Ovis aries: one gene and its partner. The protein of the gene in region 1 interacts with the protein of each later gene in a pairwise test. Links are inferred from orthologs where the notes say so. Each region holds a gene or a part of one and is shown in the gene's direction. Other genes may lie near its edges. The genes, in order: BPTF and MAZ.

Region 1 (4,320 bases):
TGGAACTATTAATATATTGAATAAGTGAATTTGGCCATTAATGCTTGTTTGTTCATTTTCATTTCACGTATGCATTCTATCCTTCTAACTCCACTGTAATAATTCACTTGGTGGACAGAATTCTGTTAACTGTTAACACAAATCACTTCTTTGTGGTCACATGTTTCAATAAGTATTAATACATTATAAAATACAGCCTGGGTCTTAGCCCCAGACCACTGCGAGTTGAGTCTCCCTCTTTTGGTCCCCGGTTGTTGGTGGTTTTAGTCGCTAAGTCGTGTCAGGCTCTTTGTGAGCCCATGGCCTGTAGCCTGCCCGGCTCCTCTGTCCATGGGTTTCTCCAGGCAAGAATACTGGAGTGGGTTGCCATTTCCTTCTCCAGGGGAGTCTTCCCGACCCAGGGATCAAACCTGGGTCTCCTGCATTGCAGGCAGTCTTTACCAACTGAGCTACGAGAGAAGCCCAGCTTTGGTCCCAGGATGCCTAAAATTTCATCCTCATGATTCGCCCCCTGGGTTTAGCCGAGACTTTGTTACTTGTCAGGTAGATTAAAATTATCTCCCGGTAACTCAAACATCCAACATTTTAAAGTAGGTATTAGGACAGAAGTTATCCTTTCTACAGCAAGGAAGAAATTAGAAAGCTCTTTCGGAGGTGGTCGAGTTTCTAGCTGGGACACTAGCAAAGGTGGAGGAGACTGGAATGTAGTTGCTTTCTGAAGTTTATCGAAGGCTTTTTGGGAGGGGATTTTATCCCGAGTCTCAGAGCGACCCTCCCTCAGGGTCTGGCAGCTTAGGGCGGGGCTTCTAGCAGCGCCCCCTCCCCCCCCTCCCCACCCCAGCAGTTGTCATTGGGATCAATTCCTGGACTCTCTCGAGCCAAGCGTTCGGAGTTTCACAGTTCTGGGGGCTCGTCTCACAGTCCCCTGATAACCTCCCTCCGTTGCTGGCGCTCACCTTGTCCCTTCTGTCGCTGGAGTTGCACAGCCCCTCGCCCCACCCCGCCGCGGCGCGATACCCTCTCTGGCGCTCTCAGCATCATTATCCCCCAGGGGACAAGACGGGGACAAATTTGGGGGCTTCCCTGCCCTCGTCCCCTAGCAGGGGAAGAGGACACGTGGCAAGGAGGCCTCGTGAGTTTAGACTCCCGGGGCCCTCGACACGGGGCACTTCTCGAGGGAGCGCCCCTCTCCTCACAGCCGCCGGCGGCCGCGGTCTAGCCGAGCCGCGCGGAGGCGCCCCGGGCTCCCCGCCCCCGACCCGGCGCTCCCGCACTCCCCCTAGCGGCCGCCGCGCGGCCTCGCTCCGTCCCAGGCTCGTCGGCGGCGCAGCTCACGTGACCGCGCTCCGGGCCTGCGGCCGCTGTCGGTTCCCCCAGTCACCGAGCGAGAGGGAAGAAACAAGATGGCGGCTGAAGGCGATCCGGAGTGGGGCCCCAGCAATTCGGATTGAGCCTTCTCCCTCCACCCGCTTCCGCCGGCCGGGCCCCTCCCGCCCGGCCCCGCGGGCCTCCCCACCCGGCCCCGGCGCCCCCCACCGCCACCCCTCCGCCCGCCCCTCCCCCCTCCGCTTTCCCTTCTCCCCCCCGCCTGAGCTCCGACATGAGGGGCCGGCGGGGCAGGCCGCCCAAGCAGCCCGCGGCTCCCGCTGCGGAGCGCTGCGCCCCGGCCCCGCCGCCGCCGCCGCCGCCGCCGCCCACGTCCGGACCCATCGGGGGGCTCCGCTCGCGGCACCGCGGCAGCAGCCGGGGCAGGTGGGCCGCCGCCCAGGCTGAGGTGGCGCCCAAGACGCGGCTGAGCTCGCCCAGGGGGGGCAGCAGTAGCCGGAGGAAGCCGCCGCCGCCGCCGCCGCCGCCGCCGGCCCCCCCCAGCACCAGCGCCCCGGGCCGGGGGGGGCGAGGAGGCGGGGGCGGCAGGACAGGGGGCGGGGGCGGCGGCGGCCACCTGGCCCGGACCACCCCGGCCCGGAGGGCCGTCAACAAAGTGGTGTACGATGACCACGAGAGCGAAGAGGAGGAGGAGGAGGAGGACATGGTCTCGGAGGAGGAGGAGGAGGAGGAGGAGGACGGCGACGCCGAGGAGACCCAGGATTCCGAGGACGACGAGGAGGATGAGATGGAGGAGGACGACGATGACTCCGACTATCCGGAGGAGATGGAAGACGACGACGACGACGACGCCAGTTACTGCACGGAAAGCAGCTTCAGGAGCCATAGCACCTATAGCAGCACTCCAGGTACCCACCCAGCCCGGTTGCTGCAGACTTCTTCCCCACCTCCTCCCCCTCCCTCCCCCCTGGCTCACTCCCTCTCTGGTCTCCCCCCACCCCCACCTCCCCCCCACCCCCCAAACGGAGGGGAAATGCGACGGCCCATCAAGTGGCAAAAAACTAGATTTACTAGAGGAAAGAGGCGCATTGTTCAAAATGGAGATTGCATTGTTGCAGTTCGCAGGCCACACGCTCGCTCTCTCACTCGCTCGCTCTCTTCCCTCAACCCCCTCTTTTTCCTCTTAAAAATGTGTGCCAGTGCAGTGTCTCCACGGGCATAGTTGAAACTTTGGCACACGCATATCCATTGCATTCATTTTTCTCCCCTTGTTTTGGTTTGGTTTTTTGGAATGAAAGAAGCTTCTTGTTTTTGCAAACCTCTTTGCATTTCTAATGTGGTTTCTTTTAGATTTCTCGTCTCTAATCGGTTCCTAAAAAAGGGAATGGAGGATTCAGACAGATTGTGCCATACAAACACACGCACACACACACAACATGCTTCTCTTCACACCCCGAACTGTGTGGTTTTAAAAGTGTCTTGAGGAAATGGATCAGTTGGGTTAGTAGGGGAGCCTTATCTGGTCCTGTGTGTGTGTGTGTGTTTATTCTTGAGTGCTGATGGGCTCGTGCAACAGTTGCTAGTGAATGGCTGATTAAAAAGCAAAGAAGAAAAACCAAAGAATACCAAAACAAATTTGCTGTTTTATCTGATTCCAGTATCATTTTGGTAAAATGCAAAATAAGAGACCGCAGGAACTTGAGTCTTAACTAATTTGATCCCTTTGCCTGAGAAATGCCGTTTCCTGTCACCTGTTGCAGACACGTATGGTTGATCCTGCAGACGTAATTGCTGAAGATGAACTTTTGGACCAACTTCCAAGTCACACAACAGAAGTATAGGGAAACCTAATGCAAAATGACTTTTTCTTTTCATTCTATTTCTGAGGGTAATAAGTCCTCCTTGATCTACAATGAACTTCTCCATGGTGACTCCTCTTTTCTCAGAGAGCTTCTCGAGGCTGGTGCGGAGATACATTTTGTTTATTTAAAAAACATACACACACAATGGCTGCTGTGTATTAAATTCATAGTTGCAGTTTACTAAATGGTGGAAAAAAATCATAATTTACAGCAGTAACCTACAAGATCTTTTCCTTTGTATTTTTTTTAATCTGAACTAAATTAGAATCCAGTTTTCAGAGCATTTCCGAATTAAAGTTCATGAAGGAATAGAGTCTTAACAGTGATTAAGGTGTGTCACTTGTTTTTAAAAGAGACTGGACCAGCCCTCAAATAAAAATCAACAAAGAAGACAAAAAAAAAAAAAAAGGGACTGGAATAGGAGAAGTGGTTAAATGTAAATGTGCCTTTTTTTCTTTTTTTAATAAATGCTTAAATACTCATTGGAGGAGTATGAGCATTAAGTCAGATGTAAGCCCATTTAGCTTGTCCTCCCAGCAAAGGAAAAAGGTAATTTCTTTTGCCTGACAGTAATATCTGCCTGTCTTTGGGGTGGAGTGAAGGAGAGCTGGCAGGAGAATGAAGAGAATGAATCAAATGTCAAGTGTGTATGTCTTGTATGTGGAAAGGACTACACACCATCCTTGCCAACTTAATTTTAGTGCATCTTTTATAGTAATGATTTCTACCTTACGAAATCACATGTGGTCTTTTCGACCAGGAGCCCAGAACTGAAAGACTTGTGGAGAGGAAATTATACTATTGGAGGAAGTTTTCTCAGATTAAGCAGAGCTAAGGCGTTTGGCAGGGTGGTTCAGCTAACTTTAACTCCTCTTTGAAGGCTTAGCAAGTAATATTTAGGGTTGAGAGCGGTGTATATGCTGTTAAATTACAATTTTGTGGTTAGGCTTCCTTTTTTAAAAAGATCCTTATATCTTTATGTACTTCCATGATAGTTTGTTTTTTCCGATGACATTCATAGTCTACCTTGTGTATGCTTGTCACCTTTCACCTTTATGTGAAATTAAGGGTTATATATCCTTATACTAATCTTACAGCCCCTGTAGTTCCTAGTGTAGTGCCTTGAGCACAC
Region 2 (4,417 bases), on another chromosome or scaffold:
CAGCTTACTGTGTGTTTTACATTCATTAACTAATTTGATCCTCACAACAACTCTATTCTACTCTTTCACAGATCAGATAAATTGGGAATCACGCCAGAGTGACCAGAGGGAAGGGTGCTGGGACAGACACTAGACAGGAGGGAAACAGAGGCTGGGGAGGGCGGGCAGGTAGCTGCTGTTAAGACTCCTATCCTTGGCAGAGGAGTCCAGAGCGGTTCATTGCCGCGGGCCAAACAGCAAACTCTGCTGTTTCTGTCACTCACCTCCTGCCTCATAGCTGGAGTCCCTGGATGCATCACAGCCAGAGAAGGCTGAGGACGGCTGGGAGCTGCAGATCAGCCCAGAGCTACTGGCCCATGGTCGCCAAAAAATATTAGATCTGCTGAACGAAGGCTCAGCCCGTGATCTGCGCAGCCTGCAGCGCATTGGCCAAAAGAAGGCTCAGCTCATCGTGGGCTGGAGGGAGCTCCACGGCCCCTTCAGCCAGGTAATGGCTCAGGGAGGACAGCCCTGGAATGGAGTTGGGTGGGGGACACCTGGCCTAGACCCTTCCCCATCGCTGTTGTCCTGCCAGGTTGAGGACCTGGAACGCGTGGAGGGCATGTCGGGGAAACAGATGGAGTCGTTCCTGAAGGTGAGCTCGCGGCTCGGGCCCCCTTGTTACCCTGGTTTGTACCCTGCCCGGCTCTAAACCTGATCTCCCCTTCCCTCCTGTGTTGCAGGCAAACATCCTGGGTCTTGCCGCGGGCCGGGGCTGTGGCCCCTCCTGACTGCCGGCTCCCCTCTGTACCCTCCCGTTTTTTTTTTTTTAAGTCCTTGTGTAACTGCTTGTCTTGTAAATACAGTTTTCACTCCGTTGCTTCAGCCTGATTCTTGGGACTACGGGGGCGGGGCCGGGGTATAATTGCCCTTGGGATGGGCCACAAGCTCAGCCTGCAAACTTCTTTGGGCGCCATCTTTGGGAAAACGCGAAGCAGCGCAGGATTGTAAATAAACCGCTGGAGTGGGAGGGGGACAGGACGGTGGCCGAGAAGAAACAAAAAGCTCCCGCGAAAGCCCTAGGACGACGACCGTTAGGCGGGCGCGCGCTTAGAGCTTAGCCCCGCCCCATCCGTAACCCGGCGCGCGCTCCCCTATTCTCCCGCTCGACAACGACAGCGAGTTTGTGCGCGTGCGCGCGGAATAACGGCCGCTGGCGGAGGGAAGCGGGGGGTGGAATCTTTGTGGGGGGGAGAGAGAAGCCGCCCCGTCTCCCGCGCGCCCACCACCTGCGCCATCGTCAGCCAATCAGCGGCCGTCTCAGGGGTCTCGCGCTTGGGGCGACTCCGGCTGCTGGGTGGCTCCCCTGTCCCTCCTCCCGCCAGAGTCCCTCTTGTACCTCCCCCCTCCCGCGGGCCTAGCGCGCGCTCGCGCTCGCGCCCGCTCCAGCCTCTTGTGTGTCCTCGCGCCCCCCGCCCGCCCTCCCTCCCCGCGCGCAGTGTGCTCCGCTCCCCCCACCCTCCTCCTCCTTCCCCCCTCCCGCCCGCCCCGCGCGCCTCCTCCCCGGGTTCCCCCCTCCCCCACGGCCGCCTCCTCCTCCTCCCGCCCCAGGGTGAGCGCGAGCCACCTCCCTCCCTCCCTCCGCCATGGATCCCGGCAACTGGAGCAGCTTCATCTTCCAGGTAACAACCCCCTCCCCCGCCCCCCCCCCCCTTCCCACACCCCCTCCCGCCCGCCCTCCCTCCCGTCCCACCCCCCCCTCCGCGCGCCCGGTGCGCGCGCAGCTGTCCCCCTCCCTCCCTCGCGCCCTCCCCCGCCCTCCCCGAGGCGCCGGCTGGGCGCGCGCGCGGCGGGGGCCGAGGCTGCTCCCTCGCTCCCCCCACCCCGCCCCGCCAGGCTCCAACCGCCGCCGCCGCCGCCGCCGCCCGGGCCCCCGCCCCCGGCCCCCGGCCCCGCGGGGCCTCCCGCCCCCACCCAGGGGGCGTCGCCGCCGCCGTCGCCGCCGCGCTCCGCGGCCCGCCAGGCGCCCTCCTTCCCTCCCTCCCGCCGGCCGGGGTGCGCGGGCGGCGGGGCGGCCCGCGGGCCATGCGTTCGGCGCGGCCCAGCCCGGCCGGCCGGGGGCGGCGCCCCGAGCCCGGGCCCCGCGCGGCCCGCGCCCCCGGCCCCCGCTGAGCCCCGGGGGCCCCGCCGTGGCTGAGGCCATGTTCCCCGTGTTCCCTTGCACGCTGCTGGCCCCCCCCTTCCCCGTGCTGGGCCTGGACTCCCGGGGGGTGGGCGGCCTCATGAACTCCTTCCCGCCACCTCAGGGTCACGCCCAGAACCCCCTGCAGGTCGGGGCTGAGCTCCAGTCCCGCTTCTTTGCCTCCCAGGGCTGCGCCCAGAGTCCATTCCAGGTGAGTAGGGGCCGGCCGTGGCGGGCCGGGCCGGGAGGGCGCCGACCCGCGGCCGCGGCCCACACGGCGCCTTGTCTTCGCAGGCCGCGCCGGCGCCCCCACCCACGCCCCAGGCCCCGGCGGCCGAGCCCCTCCAGGTGGACTTGCTCCCGGTCCTTGCCGCCGCCCAGGAGTCCGCCGCGGCCGCGGCTGCCGCCGCCGCTGCCGCCGCCGCCGCCGCCGTTGCTGCTGCGCCCCCGGCCCCGGCCGCCGCCTCCACTGTGGACACAGCGGCTCTGAAGCAGCCCCCGGCGCCTCCTCCGCCGCCCCCGCCGGTGTCGGCGCCCGCCGCCGAGGCCGCGCCCCCTGTCTCTGCCGCCACTATCGCCGCAGCCGCGGCCACCGCCGTCGTTGCCCCAACCTCGACGGTCGCCGTGGCCCCGGTCGCATCTGCCTTGGAGAAGAAGACAAAGAGCAAGGGGCCCTACATCTGCGCCTTGTGCGCCAAGGAGTTCAAGAACGGCTACAATCTCCGAAGGCACGAGGCCATCCACACCGGAGCCAAAGCCGGCCGGGTCCCCTCGGGTGCTATGAAGATGCCCACCATGGTGCCCCTAAGCCTCTTGAGCGTGCCCCAACTGAGCGGAGCCGGCGGGGGAGGGGGAGAGGCGGGTGCCGGCGGCGGAGCGGCCGCAGTGGCCGCCGGCGGCGTGGTGACCACGACCGCCTCGGGAAAGCGCATCCGGAAGAACCACGCCTGCGAGATGTGCGGCAAGGCCTTCCGCGACGTGTACCACCTGAACCGACACAAGCTGTCGCACTCGGACGAGAAGCCCTACCAGTGCCCGGTGTGCCAGCAGCGCTTCAAGCGCAAGGACCGCATGAGCTACCACGTGCGCTCACATGACGGCGCTGTGCACAAGCCCTACAACTGCTCCCACTGTGGCAAGAGCTTCTCCCGGTGTGCACGGGCCTCGGCCGCCCCCTGGGCGGGTGGGGAGGGCGGGAAGGCCGGCGGTGGAGGTGGCCTGGCCTTGGCTGGTGGGGAGGGAGGGAGCTTTCTGAGGATGGGGACTGGGAGCCACTCCCAGGGAGGCGGGAGGAAAGCCTCTCCCGGTTACCAGGGAGCAGGGGGTGGTCCTTAGCAGAAGGAGGTGGGTCCTTAGGTTGAGTGGGAGGAGGCCGAGGCCGCCTAGAGCGAGAGGAGGGATTCCTGCCTAACCGGGACTCTGAATCCCTGGGCTTGGGAGAAAACGCAGGGCCCCTTGCAAATGCTTGATGGACCAAGTTAGGCAGACTCGGGGACCCATCCACACCCCAGGGCCCTAACCCCAACCCCAACGTGTCCCCAGGCCGGATCACCTCAACAGTCACGTCAGACAAGTGCACTCAACAGAACGGCCCTTCAAATGTGAGGTAGGAAGCCCGCCTCCTCCTGTCCTGATTTTCATGATTTTGATCCTCATTGTAGTTGTCTGAGTTCAGCCTCTCAGAGCCCCTTTTTCTCTCTCTTCTTTTTGCTTTTTCACTCCATTTTCTCATCCCTTCTTCAAGGCCTCATCATCTCACTCCCATTTCCTACAGATCAAAGACCCCCAAGGCTCTGATTCCTTTAACCTCTTGCCCCCCTCGCCCTACTCCCCGAAGCTTTAACTCTCCTGACACCCCCCACGCCCCTCCCCCCTCCCCAGAAATGTGAGGCAGCTTTTGCTACGAAGGATCGTCTGCGAGCCCACACAGTACGACACGAGGAGAAGGTGCCATGTCATGTGTGTGGCAAGATGTTGAGCTCGGCTTATATTTCGGACCACATGAAGGTGCACAGCCAGGGTCCTCACCATGTCTGTGAGCTCTGCAACAAAGGTACATGCTGAGAGATGTTGGGAGGGCTAGGGACAGAGGGTGGGGACAAAACCAGAGGCCTTTCCACAGATGTGGGTTAAAGGTGCTGTAGCCAAGAGCTCGTGGCATCTAGAGCCCTTTAGAAAACACACGAAGGAACGTTGGGACGACTGAACATCACTAAGTTCTGAGATGTCATGGCTGGAGGAGATGATCTACCAGAA

Evidence for each region.
Region 2: the proteins of BPTF (region 1) and MAZ interact in a two-hybrid assay, tested with the Homo sapiens proteins (2 studies listed by BioGRID). The link is inferred for Ovis aries from reciprocal best matches to the Homo sapiens genes BPTF and MAZ.

Annotation. Positions count from the first base shown.
Region 1 is NC_056064.1:48,822,504-48,826,823, reverse strand, and holds the start of BPTF (nucleosome-remodeling factor subunit BPTF), read left to right. Parts: upstream 1-1,375; 5' UTR 1,376-1,600; coding exon 1,601-2,234; intron 2,235-4,320. UniProt on the Homo sapiens protein: Regulatory subunit of the ATP-dependent NURF-1 and NURF-5 ISWI chromatin remodeling complexes, which form ordered nucleosome arrays on chromatin and facilitate access to DNA during DNA-templated processes such as DNA replication, transcription, and repair.
Region 2 is NC_056077.1:26,949,604-26,954,020, reverse strand, and holds the start of MAZ (myc-associated zinc finger protein), read left to right. Parts: upstream 1-1,610; 5' UTR 1,611-1,625; coding exon 1,626-2,372; intron 2,373-2,455; coding exon 2,456-3,312; intron 3,313-3,703; coding exon 3,704-3,767; intron 3,768-3,905; coding exon of another isoform or gene 3,906-4,004; exon of another isoform or gene 4,005-4,036; intron 4,037-4,042; coding exon 4,043-4,214; intron 4,215-4,417. Other genes in the region: kinesin-like protein KIF22, read left to right, coding at 278-487, 575-634, 723-770. UniProt on the Homo sapiens protein: Transcriptional regulator, potentially with dual roles in transcription initiation and termination.